Alligator mississippiensis: one gene and its partners. The protein of the gene in region 1 interacts with the protein of each later gene in a pairwise test. Links are inferred from orthologs where the notes say so. Each region holds a gene or a part of one and is shown on either strand. Other genes may lie near its edges. The genes, in order: RTN4, CERT1 and RTN3.

The links.
Region 2: the proteins of RTN4 (region 1) and CERT1 interact in binary tests that used the Homo sapiens proteins (3 or more experiments, as listed by UniProt). The link is inferred for Alligator mississippiensis from reciprocal best matches to the Homo sapiens genes RTN4 and CERT1.
Region 3: the proteins of RTN4 (region 1) and RTN3 interact in binary tests that used the Homo sapiens proteins (3 or more experiments, as listed by UniProt). The link is inferred for Alligator mississippiensis from reciprocal best matches to the Homo sapiens genes RTN4 and RTN3.

The regions. Positions count from the first base shown.
Region 1 is NC_081824.1:207,171,936-207,179,053, reverse strand, and holds the start of RTN4 (reticulon-4), read left to right. Parts: upstream 1-4,071; 5' UTR 4,072-4,153; coding exon 4,154-4,580; intron 4,581-7,118. UniProt on the Homo sapiens protein: Required to induce the formation and stabilization of endoplasmic reticulum (ER) tubules. They regulate membrane morphogenesis in the ER by promoting tubular ER production.
Region 2 is NC_081826.1:254,408,379-254,416,008, forward strand, and holds the start of CERT1 (ceramide transfer protein), read right to left. Parts: upstream 3,012-7,630; 5' UTR 2,811-3,011; coding exon 2,715-2,810; intron 1-2,714. UniProt on the Homo sapiens protein: Shelters ceramides and diacylglycerol lipids inside its START domain and mediates the intracellular trafficking of ceramides and diacylglycerol lipids in a non-vesicular manner.
Region 3 is NC_081838.1:4,720,881-4,728,378, reverse strand, and holds the start of RTN3 (reticulon-3), read left to right. Parts: upstream 1-4,405; 5' UTR 4,406-4,440; coding exon 4,441-6,502; intron 6,503-7,498. UniProt on the Homo sapiens protein: May be involved in membrane trafficking in the early secretory pathway. Inhibits BACE1 activity and amyloid precursor protein processing. May induce caspase-8 cascade and apoptosis.

The DNA of each region.
Region 1 (7,118 bases):
TGTTTCAGGGAATAGAAAATAGCGCATGGAACCTCTCTCTTCCTCAGCAGTGGTGATATGTCTCATATCAATAGTAATTGAAAGGTATTACAATCCTATGGCTATATGAAATAAGAAAATTATCTTGGTTTCGCTTGGGTACACATTAAAGAAAATCTGCATTAATAATTAGTTTCAGCAGTGAATATTAGGACTAAATAAAAGTTTGGAGACTGGGGGCGTGTCCAGATGAGTTTGGCCGTTTGTTATGTGGTGCTGCAAACACGTTTGCAGCGCAACATACTGCACAGTCCAGAGTTCTCCGTGCCTGAAGAGCACGTTGCCTGAGTGTGTGCTGCTCCATTTTTTTTTCCTGAAGTGTTTTTTGACCTCTGGATATCCAGGGGTAAAAAAAAAAAAAAATATGTGGGGGGAAAAAATCCCCCAAGCAGTGTATGCTCGTGCAGCATGAGCTACTAAAAGGCAGAGCTGGACTGCTCGGAGCTGTGCTGCGGCTGCCAGCCAAGCTCTGCCTGGCAGGATTGCCATGGCTGCAGCTCCAGGAAGCCCCCAGGACCCCAGGTAAGGCTGCTGGGGACAGCACAGTGCTGGCTGCAGCCTCCCCTATACCACCCGGGGCAACTTACTGCATGCCAAAGTGTGTGTGTGGCATGCGTGTTCCCTGGGGACAAGAAGCAGCGGTGCAAGGTGCACCGCTGCTTCTTGTCCCCAGGGAACCAAACGTCCACGCAAGTCTGGATGCGCCCTGGGGGGTCTGTCTATACCACAACGTGGCAGGTCTTGGACAGGCCAGGACTTAACATGTTCTTCCTATACAAGTCCACTGACGTGCTCCAGAGCCAAAAGTTCACCTGTAAGCATACTCTGGACTCATCTCCAATGCCTGCTCTCAGATTCACTGGTGAACAAAAGCAGGCAGGCAGAGAATGAATCTGGAACAGCCTTTTGGGTGAACTTCTGGCTCTGGAGTGTCGGCAGACTCAATGTAAGGGACATAGGGAGTGTTCAGTCTTGTCCTCCCTGCCATCCATTTTGACACATTATAGACAGGGCCCGAATCATCCATTTCACTAGTAGTTGATTTTTCTAGATGTGGGTTGAGGCACAGTGAGCAGACCATTATACTGGCTCTGCCTGTGCTCGACCTGTTCTACTGATCTCATTTATAGCAAATATGATTTTGAAATGCAAAGGAAAATGAGAAATTAACATTTTTTGGTTAGTAATAAGCTGAACAACCATGAAATAGAAGTCTACAGTTCTAGCAATCCCTTGAGTCAGCTGTTTGGCAGGACAGGGACCTCAGGTGCTAACAAGAGGTGAAATAGAATCCTGTGCAAAGCCAGCACAAGGCCTGTGAACAACTAAAGCCATCAAAATGAGGCTTAATTGGGACTTAGTTCTTGCAGAGGGCTCGTGCTGAAGGTTCTGCAATATTAATGTCAAATGGTACTTACTAATTCATGTGGTTCCATTAGTCAAGTGAATAGTTTAATTTAATTTATGAAGACTGCTGACATTTTTAAGTTCAATGCAATGGATACAAAGCTGCAGACTTGGGTCTAGATCAGGGTCGGGCAATTGTTTTTGCCCATGAGCCACATTGGCAGTTCTGGGGATCTGCCACAGGCCAGTCAGCACCCCTTCCCCTCCTGCCCCCCTGCAGCAGGCTAGAACCCATGGACCACCGCCAATAGTGCACAGCCCCCAGCCTGCCCTGCCTTTGTAGGCAGCCCAGGAGGCAATGGCAGCTCCTTCCTGCTGCTGCTGCCACTGTCCCCAGACCTGCGGTACAGGTGGGGAAATGAGCATGCAGCCCTGACTCTGGCCTGCCACGTGCCCGCTCCAGACTCTGCCCAGTGGAGCAGACCAGCTCCGGACTAGTTGGAACCTGCGTGCACAGCCTTGACCTGCCCTGCACCTGCTCCAGACACCCTGCACATGCTGAGCAGTGGCAGCAGTGGTGGTGGCTGGGCAGAAGCTGCTGCTTGGTGTGGACAAAAAGCAGTTCCTCCCCCTCGCCACTGCTGGGCACTACTTGCTGCAGCTGCCTGGAGCCTGAGCCTGGGCTGCCTTGCTGCTCCTCTCCACTGTTGTCGCTGCTGCATTCAGGCCACCCAGTGGGGCAGTGATGGCAGCTCAGAGGAATGGCAGGGCAGCCCGGGGTTTGGGTGGCTGTAGCAAGAAGTTACCTTTTCTTGGCCCCACGCACTGGGATTGGGGCCAAGCACCACCCCCTCCCACCACAACTGGGTGCTGGGGACTTTGCAGTGTACCCGGCAGACCCCTTATATCGAGATTGGGGCCTGGCTGTGCCCTTCACACCAGGCCAGTACCCTGGATGCTGCCTTGCCTGGCTCTGCACACCAGATTGGGTGCCTGAGCTAGCAGCCAGGGCCTGGGACTCCTCACCGGCCTGGAAATTTGACAGCAGGAGAGCAGTGCTACTGCTCCCTTTCCACCAAAGTCCTGACTATGGGGGGAGTGGCGCAGGCTGAATGAAAAGGCCAGGGGTGAGAACCCGTTTCATGTCTGAGAAATGCCACACACATTAGGTTACTGTAGAAAACCATTTGTTCGCTAGCTGCCACCGTGTTGTCCCATGGCTGGGCTGTGGCTCTGTCTCAAACAAGAACCTGAGGGAGCAGAGAACAGTTTCACAGCTGACAGATGCCAGGGTCCTGTTACCTGGTAGGGGACATACCATGACCACCAAGATGGTTTTCCTACTGGCAAGGGAAAGCCACAAATGTGGGAGGGGATAGTACCCTCACCGAAATAATGAATAGTTAGCCCCCCACTTTGACTTCAGTGGGAGGGTCTTGGCTACATGCTGACTTTCTGGAAATGGGAGACTCCGCCCTAGCCTGCTCCTCTGGCTATATGGCTGAGGGCAAGTGAAACTCAGGGGCATCTGAACCCCAAGCCTCCAGGCCTGGGCCTGCATGTAGGATGCCCACCAAAGGATTTGGAAATATCTGAAACCCCAGGTGGGGGTGGAGGTAGCAGGCCCATGTATGGTTCTTGAATGATTCACATGGATTTGGAATTGATTTGGCTAATTTGACTTGGGACAGGAAACATTTTCCTTAAATAAAAAAAGTCCTGTCCCTGAGGCCTCCATGCTGCTCAGCATGACTGACGTGTGGCCCCGGAGGCTGGGGGTCATGGTGACTGGGCGCAGGTGGCAGTGGTGGGGCTGTGGTGGCAGCGAGCACGGAGGCCCTATAGGTGGCCATGGCGGTGTTGGTGAGTGTCTGCAGATGCTGCCTGCAGTGTTGCAGGGGGAGGAGGGGGCAAGCAGTGACTGCCCGGGGTTGCTGCCGGCAGTGTTGGCAGTGCTTCTCTCAGGGGCTGCACATGCACCTGTGTATACCCCCTACATGTTGCCAATGCTGCTCAGCCCTCTTTCCAGGGTGGGGTGTCAGGGGGGTAGCACAGGATGAATCCCAGCCAGGTGGTGCAGTGCCAGGACAAGCACCCACAGATCAAGCGTCTCAGTGGGGGCATCTGAATCCCAAGAACTTTGCAGTTGGGCCTGCCGGTGGGATACCTAGCAATGGATCTGGGGGGTATCTGAAGTCTCAGAGTGACAGCTTGGGCGGGCAGATGCTTGTGGGTTGTAGCACCATCATGGTGTCTAGAAGGATCGAGTACTGCCTGCTTCATCCACGTGCTTTTTGCTCAGTCAATATGATTTGGAACTGATTTGACCCGGAGCACTAAATATATTAATAACCCCCCTCAAAAAAAACCCAGCGCGGCAGGAAGAAGTGACCACGGGTGGGGACCCGGCCGGGGCCCGCGGCCTCCGGCTTTCAGCTGTGTCACTCGGCTCCTGACTCATCCCCATTGTCGGGCGGGGCCTCGCGCAGCACCGCGCCCGCCGCCCGCGCTGTCTACTCCCGAGCCCCCCGCATTCGACGCCAATTCTCCCCGCCCCTCGCTGCATTATTCATGAGGCGGCGGCGCCCGTTCATTGGCTGCGGGGGCGGGGCCTGGCGGCTCCTCGCGCTCCCATTGGCTGCCCGCTCCTTCCGTCTCCCCGACAAAGGGCCCCCCCTCAGCCGATTGTGACTCAACAGGGCGTGGAACGCGCGCACAGCAGCAGCAGCGGCGGCAGCTCCGGCCCGGCAGCGCCCATTGTCCCGCCATGGACGAGCCGGAGCAGTCGCCGCTCGTGTCGTCGTCCGCGGCCGCGGCCCCGGCGCCGCCGCGCTTCCAGTACCAGTTCGTGCGGGAGCCCGAGACGGGCGGGCGCGGCGACGGCGCCGAGGAGGACGAGGACGAGGAGGAGGAGGACGAGGACTTCGACGAGCAGCTGGAGGTGATGGAGCGGCGCCCGCCACCCGCCGCAGCCGCCGCGCCCCCGGCCCCCGCGCCGCAGCGCCTGGAGCTGGGCGGCGGCGAGCAGCCCCCGCGCCCCGCCGCGCCTGAGCCGCCGCAGCGCCCGGGCTCCCCCGCCGGCCTCGGCTCCTCCTCCTCCTCCTCCGCTGCCTCCACGCCGTCGCCCGAGCCTGCGCGGCCCGCGCCGCTGCCCCCCGCGCCCCGCCGCCGGGGCCCGTCCTCAGCCGCCGCCGGTGAGTGCCGCGGCCGCGCCCCTTTGTCTGCAGCGCCCGGCGCCGCCTGCCCATTGTCGCCCGCCTCGCCTCCCGGCCACGCCCCGGGCCCTCCCGGGGAAGGGGCGTCCCCTCTGCGCAACTCGCCTGCGGCCTCTGCAAGGCGCGGGGTTGCGCAGGAGGCTTGTGCCCGGGTGCTGCGCCTATAGCGCGGAGGGGCCGGCCCCTGCGGCCCGCCTCTGGGCTTTAGAGGCCGCAAGCCAACAGGGCGGCAGTTGCCCAGTTGGGGGTGGCGTTGTCAACTCGAGTGATCTTTGGCGGTGGTCTTAAAGTCTACGCCTTGGAAATGTGAAAACCAGTATCTGTCTGTCTGTCTGTCTATCTATCTATCTATCTATCTATCTATGCTGAGTCTTTCGTATCCTAAAATTTTCCATAAAAACTTAACATAGATGTATAAATCTCGATCTCTCTCGGTCTCTCAGAGAGAGAGATATCTATAGCTCTGAGAGAGAGATGCTCAGCCTTTCACATTTCCAGAGCATAGGCTTTAAGAACAAATGCCAGAAATCATGCTAGTTGGCAGCACTGGGGTCGCAATTTTCAGTGGGTGGGGGGCTGGGGTTTGGGAGTGAGGAAATTGGGCCATAAATGGGGTTTTGCTGAGGAAACATTTGGGAGGCAGTGGAATAAGATCTCAAAAGACCAGGGGCTTGCCTTTGGAGCTCTTAGAGGCAGCATCTGGAGGAGCCTTCCGTTGTTAAGTGTGGTGGGTGCTGGTTCAGCACCGCTAATGGAGGAAGCGCCACCAGAATTGCTGTCAATGTTGCTGAAGTTTTTTACGGGGGTCTCCAGTTTGCGTGTGGCTCTTGCTTTGTAACAGGGGGGTTGCCGTTCTGTTTTAGCCCCTGCCCTACTCAGCTTGAAATGCTGATCTTAGTCAAAGAAGCCACTTCAGGCAGCTGGAACCAGAAAAAAGGAAGTCTAGATGCAGGTTCCCTCCCCCACCCCAGCTTGCCTAGCCCTGCCATAGCATGTGCGCCAAAGACGTACAACCGTGCAGCAACATGGGTGCATAAAGGGTGTGATTTAAAATGGCTTGGATGTAACTGGTGAGATTCCTGCCTTCAACAAGTGTTTGTTTTCTATTCGAGGTCCATTTTAGTTTTCCTGAGTCTTGCAGCTCATTTAAGTTGTGCATTTAGCAGCTTTGCTGTTTCATCAGGTAGCTGTAGTCTCTCTAGTCAGTGTTGGTTCTTTACATAGCAACAGTCCTATGTTTCTAAGGTTGAGAAGAATACTGCTTCCTATTTCCCCATTCCAGTTGGATGAAATCATGGGATTTTAAAACCACGAAAACTCACAAGGGAATCTGGAAGAGGTGGGGGAGGGGTTCTGTGTGCTGACTGGGTAGAAATTTTTGCCTGGGCAAGTGAGTTGAACAGAATAGGGGAAGAAGAGCTTGAGCAGAATGACACAACAAAGGAAAGGAGTGGGCCAAGTGCAGAGGCTCCTTTAACTTAGAGGGAAAGAGCAGAGTCCATGGAGCTGTTCTATGTGTTTTATTGTTCCCCACAAGGGAGGAAAGCAGGAATAGGAGTAATTTCGGAGCTGTTGCTTCTTTTTAGAGTAACCACAACATATAATACAGGCTGTTAGGTGCTGGAGGAGAGGGTCATGGGTCAGAGAGGGTCTAGTATCTGATGTGTTTTTCAGTGGGGATCAGTTGCAGAATTTCACTTGGAATGGGCAGAATTTAGTGAGGCCTGAATTAGATAAGACTGACAGCGTTACTGATTCCTTGTTGGGCTGGCATCTTTGGCAAGTGTGGCTTATAGATAAGGGTTGAAAGTACAAATAGAATTGCACTTTCCCTAAATTTCACACCCTTCCTGGTAGGCATAGACCTTGGATTAGCAGTTGCTGGGGAAATATTTCAAGTCCAAGAATCTGAAATTGCTTCTAACGTAAAAATAAAATTAGCATACCCTTAACTAAGGAAATAATGTTTAGACATGAACTTAGTTAAACAGCACGAGTACTTCAGTTCTCTTGGGTGGAAGAGTATTTTAAGTTTATAGCATATTGGTGTTGAAATTCCAGGTGTTTTTTTTGAAGCTGGAGCGTAGGAGCTAACGTTGGAACTGTTCATCCCAACCAGAATGTTTAGTTTAGCTTTTTACTGTCATTTTGCGGCATATAGGAGAGTGAAGAAATAACATGATATGCATCTGTACCAGTTCAGCTCTTTTGGAGTGTTATAGTTGCTTACCTTCTTCTTCCTTATATAGGTTTAAGATGCGAGTGGAGATTTCATGGTTGTGATCTAGAAGTTTAAAATGTGCAGTATTTTGGTCAGAAGTCTTCTACAGTGAGATTTACTGATGTGTTTTAGTCTTGAACATGTTCAAAAGTCATAAAATGGCAAAAAATGGGGTGGTATTGCTTGTAGCAAGCATATGTACAGTGAGCTGTTAAACAAAGAATAAATACTGTGTGTGTGTGTGTGTGTGTGTGTGTGTGTGTGTGTTAAGTTTTTGAAATGATGATGTATGATCT
Region 2 (7,630 bases), on another chromosome or scaffold:
ACTTAAATCACAATTTAAAATCACTGGTCAGGAAGCCTCAATTTAATTGCCGTTTTCTACAAATGTGCATTCTTGTTGATATCCTTTATTCATTTAACATCTTGAAGCTTTGCACTTTTAGAGAAAGATAAGGACTTGACTCTGTATACAAACTTGCAGAGACAAGACTGAAGAGTAGGTAATCATTCACGTCTGTTCTCTCTCATCTCTATATACTGCTGTTAACAAGGATATTATCTCTGGAGACAAATCCACAGTTTGACAACTGAAACTAAGCATCACAGAGATGCTTAATGGGATCTTCTAGACTGAGCACTGAGTCCCAGGAGAGTGGGTTTCTTTAATCTTTATTAATCTACAGAGGAGCCAACAAAAACCCCGTAAGATTGGACCCCCAATATAGTCCATGGCCTGTTGTGACCTATTTATAAAACTTTTCTAGAAAGGTTATATAAACATATCATCTCAAATAATATATAATTAAAGTTAATTCCTATTCCATGATGATCTCTTTGAGCTTTAAGAGATCTTAAATTAAAGCTATCTTGACATTAGATTTTTTTTTATTTAATTGTATTTAAAAAAAATTTTTTTTTGTTAAGATGCTTTAAAAAAACAAAACCTAATTTAAATATATTTTTTAAATGGTTGATTTAATTAATTGACCCTGCAATACAGTTTTAGGTAAGCAAAAAAAAAAAGGGGGGGGGGGGAATCTTGTAAAGGAAAGACTACCTGTTTAAATAATTGTATTCAAATTTTTCTAGTTTGTGTCCACCTTTAAAAGGTAAACAAAAAAAATGAACTACAAGAAGGGCATTGCAGATATTTAAAAACATTCAAGTCAGTAAGAACATGTGTACAGATTTAAGCATAAAAAAAAAAAACAAACACTAAGCCCTTTATTTATAAATCAGCTCCTCCTTTCCCAATACTGAGATCCTACCTGCTCTCCCCACAGGGAGCAGGGCAGGTGAGGGGAAAATGAAAAGAAATATCTTGGAGCACCTGAAACACAATAAATAGTTGGAACCTGCTCTTGCTGGTATGGAGTATAGTTCCATATGAAAGAGCCTTTAAAAATAAGAACATTTGCATACTAAACAGGCCATTAGGCAATCAGTTCAGTTGAATTCATTTCGCTCTCATATTTCTGAAGACATGAATTAAGCAGCAAACAAACCAGCAAAAAAACCAAGTGAATATAAGCCAGCCATAATGCCTTCCTGCATGTTCACTACAACAGGTTTCATCATGCTTCACAATTCAGATGAAACCCCCATGTGAGAACACAGTGGGGATAAACAGGAAAGGCAAAGCAGTCTGTGAAAATCAGCATAATCACCACAAACAGGAAAGACAACCACATACTACCTTCCAATATGGCACAGAAGTTTGGGAAGACACCTTGGGATTTCACGTACTTGATAGTCCCACCATTACAAGCTAACATAGAACTTCATGCAGCATGTCATTTGCCAATATTCAAGTGGCCAGCACACCACAAACATAATTTTTCTACCTAAAGACCTGAATCACCTAATAAGGAGGTAATGTTGCAGGGCAGCAAAGCACATTACTGTACCAAAACCTCCCATGAATGAAAACCATTGTGAAATGTCTCCTGTCCCCTCCCCCAATACCAAATACAAGATTTCCCAAACAAGAGCCAAGGCCGCTCTCTTTTTGAGCACTCCTCCCATCTGAGCTAAGAAACATTTTCCAGTTGGAAAGAGCTCATACACTCCCTTACAAAAAAGCATAACATCTGGTTAAGTTACAATAGGTTTCTTCGTATACAAGAGTGGCTCATGATCTCAGTATCCCATGACCTCGGCATTCTGTGCAGACTTAAAAATCATCCTTGTGGCAAAGCAGGACAGAAATGCTGAACTCAGCCACCTGGGTGTATAATGATATTACTTTCTCTAGAAAACACCAGCACCTCTCTGTTGCTGAAGCCGTTCACTCAACAGTTAGCCCTTAAAACACTCCTAATCTATTAAAAGCCTATTTAATCTCATTTTGCCTGCAGTTGTGAGCCGTCTCCTTACATTTCCAAACCAAAAGGAAAAGGTTTGGCTCCCCCCATGGAAAGCAGAAAAAAAAGCAGCAGCAAGAATTGGGAAAAAAGCAGCATCAGTGCCATTTTCCTCCTCTCGCACCCCCCACATCTCCTGCGGCAGGGGGTGGTTTGATTGCACTGTTTTGATACTTGGGCTAAAGGTTGTGCCACTCCTCTTTGACGTCTCCCTACTTATGGGAAGTGATTTGTGTGCGAGCATCACATGCTGCTTGGGGGGGGGAGGGGGGGGAGAATAAGAGAGAGAGAGAGAGAGAGAGAGAGACCATACCAGAAAAAAAAAGAAACAAAATGAGAGAAAGAAAAATGAGCAGCATTTTCCCCGGGCGAGCCGAGCCCCGGGCGACCACCGCATGCCCAACTCCGCTCGCGGACCTGATGCGCGGCTCCGCCCGTGCCGGCCCGGGAGGGGAGGGGAGGGGAGGGGAGGGGGCGCCGGGGCAGACATTCGTGCGGGCGGCGATGACTCCCCATTTGGGGGTGGGGGCGAGCGGAGACTTCGCCGCTCTCAGGACGGGCGCTAGAAGCATCCTCAGCCCGAGCCCTCCCCGTGCCCGACGCCCGCCGGCTACCCCAACGTGCCCGCCCGGCCGCGGGGAGGGCAGCGCCAAGCGGGCGGCGCCGTCCCTACCTTGCTGAGGACGCCGCAGAGCTCAACAGGCGGCCCGGACTCGGTCTCGGGGTCCTCCTCGGAGCCGGACGAGTTCCAGCTCTGGTTGTCCGACATGGGGGCCTGACCCGCCGCCGCCACCGAGCAGGGAATCGCGGCGCGGCCCCCGCTCACCGCAGCCGCCTCCCGCCGCAGCCACTGGCTCCACCTGCGCGGTCCCGCGCCCGACCTGGCTGCACCCGCCGCGGCTTGGCTTGGCTCCCGCCTCTGCGCCGTGCGGCCCCAGCCCGCAGCGAACACCGGAGTCGCTGCCGCCGCTCAGAGCGCCGCCGCCGCCATCTTACACAGGGAGGTCGCTCCGTGCCACTATTTACCAGCCCCCCCTGGCCCGCGCCGCGCCGCGCCGCGCCCCCGCCCCGTGTCACGGCCCGCGCCGTGCTGCCCGCCGGGCCTTGTAGTTTCGCGAAGGCAGCCGAGGGCGGGACGCCTCGGTGCATCTTGGGAGTTGCAGTCTTTCTCCGTCCTGGAGCTGAGCATGCTGGGAGACGCAGTCCACCGCGGGAAAGCAGTTACACTGGGAGGGGAACTGGCAGCCGCCATCTTGGCTCCACTGCCTGGAACTGAATGTGACTTTTCCGGTCTTCAGTGTGGTGGGGCCCGATTTCCTGCCTCTCCTCACAGAGACCGCTGTCTGCTACCTTGCCCGGCTTCGTAGCTCTTCTCCAGGCAGGAGAGATTCCCCGTTCCCCCACCCTAGCGCAGGTGTCGGGAAGCTGGTGCCTGCCTAGTCTGCGGTCTTTCCCTTAACAAACATGGCGGCCGCGGCGTCACGCCTCCCGCAGGAAGGGGCGGTCCGAGCCGGCCGGCTGAGGGAAGGTGCCGCCGGCTCACAGCTGAGGCATCGGGGCAAGCGATACTTCCTGCGGTCACAGGTAACGTGGCCGGCAAGCGGGTGGGCCCTGCGTCCCCAGCCGTGTTCTGGGCGTTGCCTCGTCTGTAGCTCCCGGGCGAAGACACGGGAGCCCCGCCCCCCCGCCTCGGCCGCCCCTTCGCCCGGCAGCGGTGTCCCCGGGCCCTGCCTCCGCGCGGCCTCTTCCCGCCGCCTCTCGTCCCCGGCCCGGTGCCCGTTGGTGCCGAGGCTTGTCTGGACCCAACCAAGAGCCGCGCCTCGGCGGGGGCGCAGAGCTGCCACCTCTTAAATATAAAATTATCGAATTGGAAGCTCAAAATGATCGTATTTGCCAAACAACTATTGTACACTGAAAAAACACGCAAATCAGTATGCCAGAAAGTCGTTGTGGTCTTTACTTTAATTCGCTGTAACCCGCCAGTGATGAGTAAGACCTGGGTCATTCAAGTTGAAGCTTTTCTTTATTTTGAGGCAAGCTGTCATAAGAAAGTGCTGACAGCAAGCCCAAAAATTGGTTAAGACTCCCTGACAGTGGCTTGGGTTTTGCATATGCTGCATCAATTAGCTGCTTCAAATGTATTGTACATTTTGAACACTTTCACCATTATTGGTTGTATGTTGCACAAGGGTTGAAGATATACAAATATGATAATTATTGTACACCTGGCAACAGTGGTGCAGCATCAGCTCAAGGTGCTTGGGCTGCATCAGCTCGCGTGGCTGCCTCCAGCCATGGAGGGCCCAGGAGCCCAATCCTTGCAGCGCCTGGGCAGGGCTAAGGCATGCAAGGCTGATGGCTGCACTGGGACCCACACATGCCTGTGCGAGGGCAGGCTCTGTCCCTGGCTCACCTGTATTATCTCTACTTCTTAAGGCGCAGGTCTGCCCTCAGCTTGCTTGGGGTGCGCAGTCTCATTGGAGAGGGGCAAGGTGGGGTGTGCAGGTGGGGCTGGGTAGCACTTTGGGGACAGACTCGTTCAGAAATGCATAAGCATTCATGACTCAAACTTAAACTCAGTTCACTTATGAGAGGCTGTGACCAGATAGCAGCTTCATTATGTGAAGCTGACCATTACTTACGAACCCTTCTCCGTTTCTGAATGAGTTTGCCTGCAAGGTGCTGCCCTGCCCTGCCTTCAAGTAGACTCTTTCACATGAACTCACGGCTCCTGATGATTACAGTGAATGGAAAATGTGTCAGGCACGTGGACGGATGTAAGGATTTTGAACAGGCTGGTGCAGATGCTGAGGTGGGTCAGCACATATAAAATAGACCATATTTTTTTCCACATAAAAATAAAAGCTTTGTCAATAGGCTGGGGGGTCTAGGCCTATATTATTCAGTTTAAGATTGAAGCAAAAACCAAAGTAACTTCATTGGAATGAGTTAAAAGCTCATGAGACAATAAGCTGAATACGAGCCAACAGTGTGCCCCTGTTGTGAAGAAGGCTAACAGCATACTGGGCTGCACTTCCAGCAAATCCAGGGAAGTCATTCTTCCCCTCTATTCAGGCCACACCTGGAGTACTGTATCTAGTGTTGCTGCCGCGCCTCCCCCCCCCCCCCCCCTGCACACTGCAGAAAGGATGTGGACAAATTGGAGAGAGTCCAGCAAAGGGCAACCAAAATTGTTAGAGGCCTGGGACACATGACTTCTGAGGAGAGGCTGAGGGAACTGGGTTTATTTAATTTGGAGAAGAGAAGACTGAGAGGGGATTTAATAGCAGCTACCTGAAGTGGGGTTTCAAAAAGGATGGAGCTAGACTGTTCTCAGTGGTGGCAGATGACAGAACAAGGAACAATGGAAGGGAACAAGGACAGTTTAGGTTATATATTAGGAAGAATTTTTTCACTACGAGGGTAGTAAAGCACTGAAACAGGCTACCCAGAGACATGGTGGAATCGCCATCCTTGGAGCCTTTTAAGACCTGGCTAGACAAAGCCTTGGGTGGGATGATCTAGAAGGGGACAATCCTGATTTGAGAAAGGGGTTGGACTAGATGACCTCAAAGGGCCCTTCCATCCCTGACTTTTTATGATTCTAAAAGCAATCTGCAGTGCTGTGAAATAGGAGCTTCATGACCCGGAACAGCTAACAGACAGCCGAATTGCAGAAGAAAGACTAGCTTGATGGGTGGAACATCAAGACTCTTAAAAGGAAGAAAGGGTCATTAACACCTGTGGAATGAAGCATTTAGAAGGAAGTTAAAAGGAATCAGATAGATTATGAAGTATGAAGTCCATTGACTTCCTCAGAGTGCCTGACTAGAAATGCTGCTGTGACTGCCAGGCAGTTAGTTTTAAACTTCGGGTGGAACAGGAATCAGAGGGGATGCAAGTGCTTCAGTGAACACTGTGCCCCTCCCCTCCACCTCTGGTTGTACATATATACCTTTGGAAATAATCATGCAGATTAATAGTAAGGTACTTAGCATACATTAATTGCAACCGTGATGCAAATTTGCAGAATGTTGAGGGAATGGGGAAATTATGTTAGCACAGTGGAAGCTACAAATATTTTAGGATGCTTTAGATGTTTTATCTATTTTTTTATGTTTGAAATTAATTTAAAGTAATTTTTCTCTCTCTTATTGCTGCTGTCAAATTCACTTACAATTAGACTATGATCAAAAGTTTTGTCCACTGGTAACATGACTTGTTTATCTTGGCTCTCTTAACTATTACAGTGTTTCTAGTTAAATCTTAATTTGTATCCTGTATATTAATAGTCATAGCAACAAATGAGATTCATTTAAAATATAGAAAGCATAATATACTTTGCTTCCTTTACCATCTATCTTCTCTGGGATGTGTTAATAGAATGGTTTGATAAGATTTCATTAAACTTGAATATGATTTCATCCTTAAATGTGCTAAATAATTTACAGCTCTGCTCCTGCATTTGGGAGGGAGGGTGTGGAATATGAGCATGCCTGAGCAAAGCTCATCAAAACTGACTGGGCTGTGCATAAGTTGTGGGATCAGGGCTGTAGTTCAAAGAATCCCTCAAAGTGATTAAAGAAAAAAACATTAATGAAACAGATACTAGAACCAAAAAAAACCCCAAAACACCTGACTACGAAAAAGGAAAATTTTTCAAACTTTACTGTACAGCTTCTAGCTACAGGTCCAAATAAAAACAAACAACCCCCTGCCGCCCCCCCCACCCCCCCCAAATTAAAAAAGAGTTAAGGTTGAAAGTAGGCTTTTCCTGTAACCTGCCCCATTTATACTTTGCCCCAGTCCTTGATTTCCCTCACTCATTGTTATTTTGTACCCTGATAATAACTGCCTCCATGCTATACTCAGGTTCTCCATGATTCCCTTTAATGTCTGTTTTTTTTCCTGTCCTTGCCTGTTTCTTGCCCTGTCCACCTCCTTCCTGTATATTTACCAATACTGTTGACTCCGTTCTGGATATGCTTGTCCCTTGCTCCTCTTCTGTTCATCCCTGTCTTAATACCTTCTGTTTCATTCTCTTTCCATCTGATGAAGTGAACTTGGGGTGACAAAAGCTTGTGGTCTCTTAGTCTATAAATGTGCATATCTACCCTGCTTTCTCACACTCATTCCCAGTCAGAGCTGACCCTGCAACCTTCAAACTTCAGTACTCTGAATTCATCCTTCACTTCTCTGGTCTCCTGCACCATCCTCCATTCCTTCAAGCAGTTGTGTTTAAAGAACAAAACATTAATTGATTTGGTTATTTAAGCAGCTGTTAATATTTTTAATGTCTTTTTACTAAAACAGTTGTGTGTGATCCCTAGAAAACAGAAAACAATTTAGAAACTTTTTAAAAACAAGAAATTTATATGTAGTGTATGTGTGTATAGAGTTAAATGTGTGTTCCTATTTTAAAAAAGTGCGAGCAACAGTACTCTTGGCATAATGTTTCCTGATGAATTTTGACCATGAGAATTCAGTTTTTAAATGATCTTTTCTGGTTATATTATGCACTGTACAAAATTTGTTTTCTGTGGTTCGAAAGTGGGAAATAGTACATAAGCTAACCTTGGTTTAGAAAGC
Region 3 (7,498 bases), on another chromosome or scaffold:
CCCTTCCACGTTGTCCAACGTGACATTTGATTCGGTAGGATGCTGTTGGCAGTTGTAGTGGATGTCTTCTATTCAGAACCTGAAGTGTCCCATGAGCCTTGTTGCCCATAGCTCCTTGCAGTGAGATCCCCCCACTGAGATTCACTCAGATTGGTGAAATCCAGCAACATCTTAAGTCTTTGCTTCAGGAAGAGCAGGTTTTTCCAGGTCCAGAAGTCCTGCCTGGAAGAGAGAGACTCTGACACTCTTGATCCTATAAAAGTTGCCAATAAAAGGCATCCACCTCAGGTTCTGGCAGCTCTGTGCATCTCCCTGGGAGAATGCAAGGTGGGACTTTGCATTCATTTCTCACAACTGGCTTTTGAGGACCTTCTCCACAGATGTCCAGTGTCGCTGTTCTAGAAAATGTCCCAACTGCATTTGCCATTTGAAATGTTTGAGGTCAGGAAGGAATTTTCCTCCATGGTCAGACTGGTATGGACTTGGTGTTGTGAGGGGTGGGGGGTGCCTTCTTCTGTAACGGGGTGGGGCATGGCCTTTTCCCTGGGATCTCTTTGAGTGTGTATATTAACAACCTTTTATAGAAGCAGGACTTTGACCACCATTGTTCCCCCTGCTTTACCTGTGGCAGGTTGGGGTGTGATGTTTTGTATTGCATTAGGGTTGATGATAGTTTTAGGAAGAGTTTAAATTATGGATTTGTATACGATGGGTTAGGTAGGGCCAGTCCTGCCTCAAGCAGGGGGTTGGACCAGATGTGACCTCTGGAGGTCCCTTCCAGCCTGACTTCGTGAAGATACCCCAGGCAGGATTCTCATATTACTCTAGTTTTACCTTCAGTGGGAAGGAAGCTTGGAAAAGCTCTCAGACAGGTTGAAGTGAACACCAAGAAAAACCTAGTCACTGGCTTCCCCTCCCCCCCCCTTTCCCCTTCTGTCTTCATTTGTCTGGATTCTCTGAAAATCAGGGAAGGATACAAGGAAAATTATTTCCCTTTACTGATACAATTTTTGTTAGGTGGAACATCAGCATAATTCCTGCGTACATCCTGTCCAGCCTTCTCAACTTGCATTCTCTGCCTTGAAGTCTCCATGGTTCAGCATGGTACCTAAGTTTTGTGTCGCTGGAGCCATGCTGTGTATCAGTTAGAGACCTGCCAAAGGTTGATGTCCCCCCACAGTCGTTTCTTCCACACTTAGCACCATCTTCATATACAGCAAGCAGCTTGTATTCACACACACTTTAAGTTGGCCAGTGATCTCTCTCGTTTGTGACCATGCTGGTGGTGCAAATGCTACATTGGAAACAAGCTTCAGTTGTGTCACTGCGTTATCTGGGGGATGGCGGTGGAGCAATATAACATGTGATGCCATCAGATGTAACTGAGGCCTTCCTGTCCTTCCAGTGGGCAGACATAGGCAGCCCCCCTTTCTTTTACCTATGGCAAATTAGGGTGTTCTTGGTGGTTTCGGGCTTTGTGCCTGGTAGTTGGGTGAGTAGGTTGTTTGTGCAGTTTTTATTTGGAATGAGCTAGACAGATGTGCACGGTATGGTTTAGATAGGGCTGATCCTCCCTTGAGCAGGGGTCGGCCTAGACGACATCCTGAGATGCCTTCCAAACCTAGTCTTTGATTTCTCAAACTCTGTTAACACCCTAATAACAGATGATTGCCATGCAAAGTAGGAATATACTGTATTCTCTCACCCAGAATATAAAGCACACTTGTTTTTGAAAGGTAGAATAAGGCGGGGTGAGTAGCAGTAGTAGTAAGAAACAGTAGCAGCAGCAAGGGATCCCAACCTGTTCATAGCTCCCTGAGTTGCCTGCAGATTTTACTTTTACTTTTGCCTTTAACTGGGCAGAAACTGCTCTTACTGTATTTATCACATATAATGTGCAGTGCAATTTACAGCAGCTTGTTCTTGTGGGTGAACCATGCATAGTATATGTGAGAAAATATGGTATTTGTGTTATACTTAACCAGCATGTTGCTTCCTTCAACTGGCTGAAAGTGGCCCAGTTTTCCAGACTGCACAGATGAGCAGGAATGAATGCCTAGGTGAAGGATAAACTATTAAAGCAAACCCATTTGTTTTTCCGCTTTAATTATTAGCTCCTCATGCCATTAATTTGCAAAGCAATTGGTGCTATAGTAAGGTATTTCTCTGCATTTTAACTTTATTCAGATGAAACTTGGAGGCTTATGCCTTGCTTCATTTGTGTGCATGTAAAACATTCCTAATTTTTAATGCTAACAGGCTCTTCTGATCAGCTCCAGGGGAGGCGTAGCATCTCGTAGAAAGAGACTTTCTACTATAAAGTTCTGTTCAGAGCTCCACCTCTTAGCAGACCTTTTGCTCTCATTAGTCTTGATAGCAAGGGTTGTTTTGGAGCTAATCAACACAGTTGAATCCACTTAGGAATTGCCACCGTATCGATGCAAATCTGACGAGTCTCCTCTCTCTCTCTCTCTCTCCTCTACCCTCCAAGGGTTTACAGCATCATAGCTCCTTTCACAACCACACTTCCAAGCATAGGAGCATTTCCCAAGTGGCAGTGTCACCCAGACTGGTGCCCGTGCCAGTGAAGTCATAGGCTGCACACAGAGAATCCACTCTGGGCACATCTGCTTAATTACAGTGCCTGGCGTCTTGTCCCGAAGCTCAAGGCGGGGTTAGGATGTACTATAGCCCCGTAAACATTTGTGTTTCAGGTGAGTGGCGTCCCTGATACGACTCCACCTTGGAATGACATAACCAGTCTCCCTTTCAAGACCTTGACCTGAAGTGGGGCTGTCATCCTAGCCCCCGGTGCTCTTGGCTACCAAGCCTACCCACACGCCAGGGTAGGAGAAAGGAGGAGGAGTTTTTCCTCACAACAGAACAGTGATTCTTCTAAGCAAGGTCCTTCTAAAGGTGCCACACACTATCAGCACTTAGTTGTGCAAACACCCGCACATGATTCGCAAGATAAAACAGAGACATCCAGTAGGAATCCTGAGGATCCAAAACATCCTGTCGTGGTCTTTCTGACTTCTTTACAATAGAAGAATTGCTCTATTTTTTTTTCATGGTCAAGAAATAAGATGCATCCTCTTGGCTTCTCTCAACCCATGATGGCAGATGCCAGGGAGAGTAACGCATAAGAGAGCGATCACTCAAGGTATACCTGGTACTTTGGTCTCCCTCAGAATCATCCACTCCTGGCACCATTGATAGATGGGTTGCTGGACTAGATGGAGCAGTGGTCTCAGCTAGAACGGCACCTCTTATGATCGAAAGCTAGCTGGCATCTTCCAAGGGGGGGCCTTGATTCTAATGAGGTTGAGAACCACTGCAGTAGAAAAGCAATAATGTTACACTAGGATGTCTTATGGAGGCTTCTGTTTTATCCAGGGAAGCCCAAACAAGTTCCTCTGAGCCATATGCCAGTCTATTGGGACATTAGTGATCAGGCAACATTTTCAGGAGCAGCTACATACAGCTAAGCATACATAAGTTCGCTCACTACCAGATAGGGACGAATCCAACCCCTCAGAGTTCATCCTCATGGTCAAGGCAAATTCCAGACTCTCACCGTTATGTCTTGGTGTAGAGGGGTTTTATACCTTTCAGGTTCAAATGTCTGTATTCCCACGCATTTCTCTTTGAGAGGGTGATCTCTTGGCCGGTAGAGTAGAGAGCAGGGAAACTTTCCTAGGGTCACCTTATTAGCATTGGGTGCGATTGCTGGTCTGTGCATCTCAGCTCCTTTGAAACTGTCCCTCGCCAGGTGCCTTCTCTCTCATTCTAATCATTGTCCTTCAGACTGACCTGTTTCTAGGAGCAGAGGATCTGGGAAGAGGAAGGTAGTGTGCTCCCAGCACAGGACAAAGGGGTGAGGGGTGTTCAAGACGTACTGCTTTTTGTGGTCCAGGCCAACCAGAACATCGAAGCTCAGCAGGCAGCGGCTGGACCTTTGGCCTTTTCAGGCTCATCTAGTAGTCACTTTAATTGGGGTGATTTGCAGCTGTCTCATTTGGATCTGTACCATATGTCATAGCATCCCCCTCGGTGTCTAGCACAGCATGCCTGAGATCCTCTTCACCCACCCCTGGTCGCTTTGCACACTTCAGGTATGGAGGCCCCCACCTTGTCGTTTGCTATCGGTCACAGCTGCTCGAAAAGTCCCGCTGTACATTGCAGTTTCTTGTGTCCAGTGGCTTTTCTGTCCTGTGACTGGCAGTGCTGTGCATGTCTGCCAAGGCTGGTGTCTTGGGCCCTCAGTTTCTCCCTCCCTTCTAGACCCTGAGAGCATGTTGCCTGTTTCGCTGTTAACCTTGTAACTACACTGTGAATCTCTCCCTCTCTCTCAAATCTCTGGCCTCAGAGGGGACTGCGTCTCCCCTTTCTGATAAGGCATCTTCGCCGGCGGATAGTGAGCCCCATGCCCTAACGAACATGAGGGTGGAACTAGCAGTAGACGGCAAAACGATGGTGGATAGCTTCCATGGGCCTAGCATGAATTCTGGAGTGGAGGCAACCTCTGTGGGTTCCCCAGAAGGCTCCCCCTTTTCCATCGTAGCGGAGCCCCGTTCTCACGGCCCAGCCATTCCAGTTGGTTTCCAAGAGCAAACCTATTCCACAAGCGATGTTCAGAGGGGGGATGACCAAGCAGAGCAGAAGGACCAAGGCGCTATGGACCAAAACAAGCCTGATGCCAGCAGCGAATCCAAATTTACTTTCTTGATGGAGCAAAAACAAGGTATTGAGCAGCCCGCTCCCAAAGACTCCATCTACTCCTCGGCCCAGCCTGGTGGTGAGACTGTGCTGGAAAAGGATTCTCCCGAGTCCCCGTTCGAGGTCATCCTGGATAAAGCAGCATTCGACAAGGAGTACAAGGCCTCGTTCATTAGTGAAGCCAACGATCTCGGTGGTCCCTGGGTGGTGCATGGTGAGAGAGAGCAGCTCACTGACATTCCCGAGGATCGCGTCTGCGAGTTTGAAGCCAAACCACGGCGGGGCAGCAGCGGCAGCTTCCCAATGGGCGCTGGCCTCTCTCGTCAGTCTTCCTGCACCACAGCTGCCCTGGAAGAGGTGTCCAAGTGCGTGCGCGAGATGCATACCTTCACGAATGAGCTGTTGACCTGGGACTTGATTCCCAAGGTGGAGTCTGCCAACAAGGTCCCTGAGTTGGATCTGTCAGAGTTGCCTTCCAAGGATGCCATAGATAGTCCTGCCCAGCCAACAGGAGAAGAGAAGGAAGCATTTAAAGCAGCCTCCCCTTCTCCCATCAGCATCAGGGTGTCCGCAGACTTGTCGGAGTACCAGTTCGAGCCACACTCTCCACGAGGCCAAGTTGTGGATCTGAAGACCTCCGGACCTGCCACTATCGATATGAAGGCTGATGTTGCTTGGACAGGCACCAGCCTGGTTGAAACAGCAGATGCAGACAGCTCGGGAGAATCTGACGACACGGTGATTGAGGACATGACCGCAGATCTGACCTTCAGAAGTGGCAAGTTCATCCTCCAGCCTGCAGAGAATGGCGCAGCTCCAGCTGGAAAGCCAGCTATCAGCCCTATCACCACTGGCGAAACCAGAGACTGGATCATTGCCGATCATGAAGAGGCCCCCACAGAGCTGCCTGAAAAGGGCATGATGCCCACCAGGACACCAGAGGACCACCGAGGATTCATCGATGACTTTGAAACACTCCAGGCTCACCCCGATATCAGGGGGAGTCCAGTATCTGAAGCAACACTTCTCAAGTCTTCCACTCTGGACTTTACACCCGTAGCTGCACAGCAAGTGAGCCGCACCAATTCAGTTGGCGTTGTGAAGCCACTTCAAGCTGGTGGAAAGCCTGATGTTCCTTCTAAAGAGCCTATACATGCACCAAGTGGAAAAGCCCCCTCACATATTACAGAAGGCCAACAGCGTCCAAACACCTTGAACGGGGAGAGCTTTGTGGACTTCATGAGAGAGTGCCTGAAGTCCAAAGGCAGTGGCGACTCCCCAGAGGACCTCACAGAAAACTTCTTGGAGGCTGAAGCCGTAGCTTCAAAAACTGCACCTTGCAGAGACAGAGCATATTGGTCAGAGGTGAAGGAGAGTCGTGAACACACTGAGAGAGACCTAACCTACAGCGGAGGCAGTCTCCAGAAATCCCCTTTCTCTCCAGGGTCCCCCACCACAGCCCAAGATCTGGAGCAGGAGCGACTAACGATCAAGGCCCTCAAAGAGCTAGGTGGAGAAGTAAATGAGAAGACATCTCCCACATCAAGCAAAGTCTCCCCGGTAGAAGGAAGAAGGGCAGCCTATGACCCCAACACTGGGACACCCCCTCAGAAACCCACCTTGGAGAAGAGGCCACTGTGTGTCCAACAGCCTATGGACCCCAAGCCAACTCCCATCCCTTGTGTTGGCACCGATGACAAAACCCCCAAAGAGCCCATCTGCGTTGGGCCGGCCCAGCCTCCTGTAGATCATGCTCTAGTGAGACTCCTGACTAAGTTTTCAGGTAAACCGCTCATTAGAAGTACAGTATCTCATTTGTTTGTCCAATGTTTCTCCTGATGCTACAGGTAGATATCTTAGGTCTCTGAAGGAAACCATCGAACGTGTTTCCTTCCTTAATCTTGAGCTTGCAAGAGTTCTTCCACTGTTCCTCCAGTGTCTTCAGCCCTCTCTATGGTATCTGAGCACCTTCTGTGTAAAATCTCTTGACCTTGATTGAGTTGGGGCATGCCTCTCTTGCTGGGCCGTCCGTGACTTTGTTGGGGGAGAGAAGGGGACCTTGTAGGGAGGTCTTTGGTAATAAAAGACCCTCGTATCCCTACTCCATTTACTGCCAAACCAGTCGATACAACCATCAAGAAATAGCAAATTCTCCATGTCACAGACATCCCTATTAATAACTCGCAGTTCCCGAGGCTTCCGAAATCACGTGTCGGGCTTAAAAAAAAATTGACTCTCTTCAGCAAACACAAGCGTTGAATTTATTGTAAGAGGTTATTGTGAGTGTTTCTCTGCAGAAGATAAAGGGTTGTTGGTGGGGGGAGCGGGTTGAAAACGGTCCTGAATAGAAGCTTTTGTTCACACTCCCCACATGTTTATGCTGGAAAGATGAATTTCAGGCCTCATCTTCAAAGCTTTTTCATGTTTGGACACACAATAATAAGGGGGTTTTCTTTTGCTGGGGGGGAAGAGATTCAGGCACAGATTATATAAGGTTCAATTGGCGTCCAGTCAGCATGGAACCGGTGACACAACGAAGGCTTCTGTTAGCGCAAGGAGCCGTGGGCTGGGCTGAAGACCTCTTGAGCGACAGCAAACAAAATGCAGAGAAGGCTAACGGCATGCTGGGGTGCATTAATAGGAGCATTGCCAACAGATCAAGGGAAGGGATTACTCCCCTCTATTCAGCACTGGGGAGGCACATCTGGAGTCCTGTGTCTTGTTTTGGGCCCCCCGCTACAGGACAGATGTGGACAAATCGGAGTGAGTCCAGTGGAAG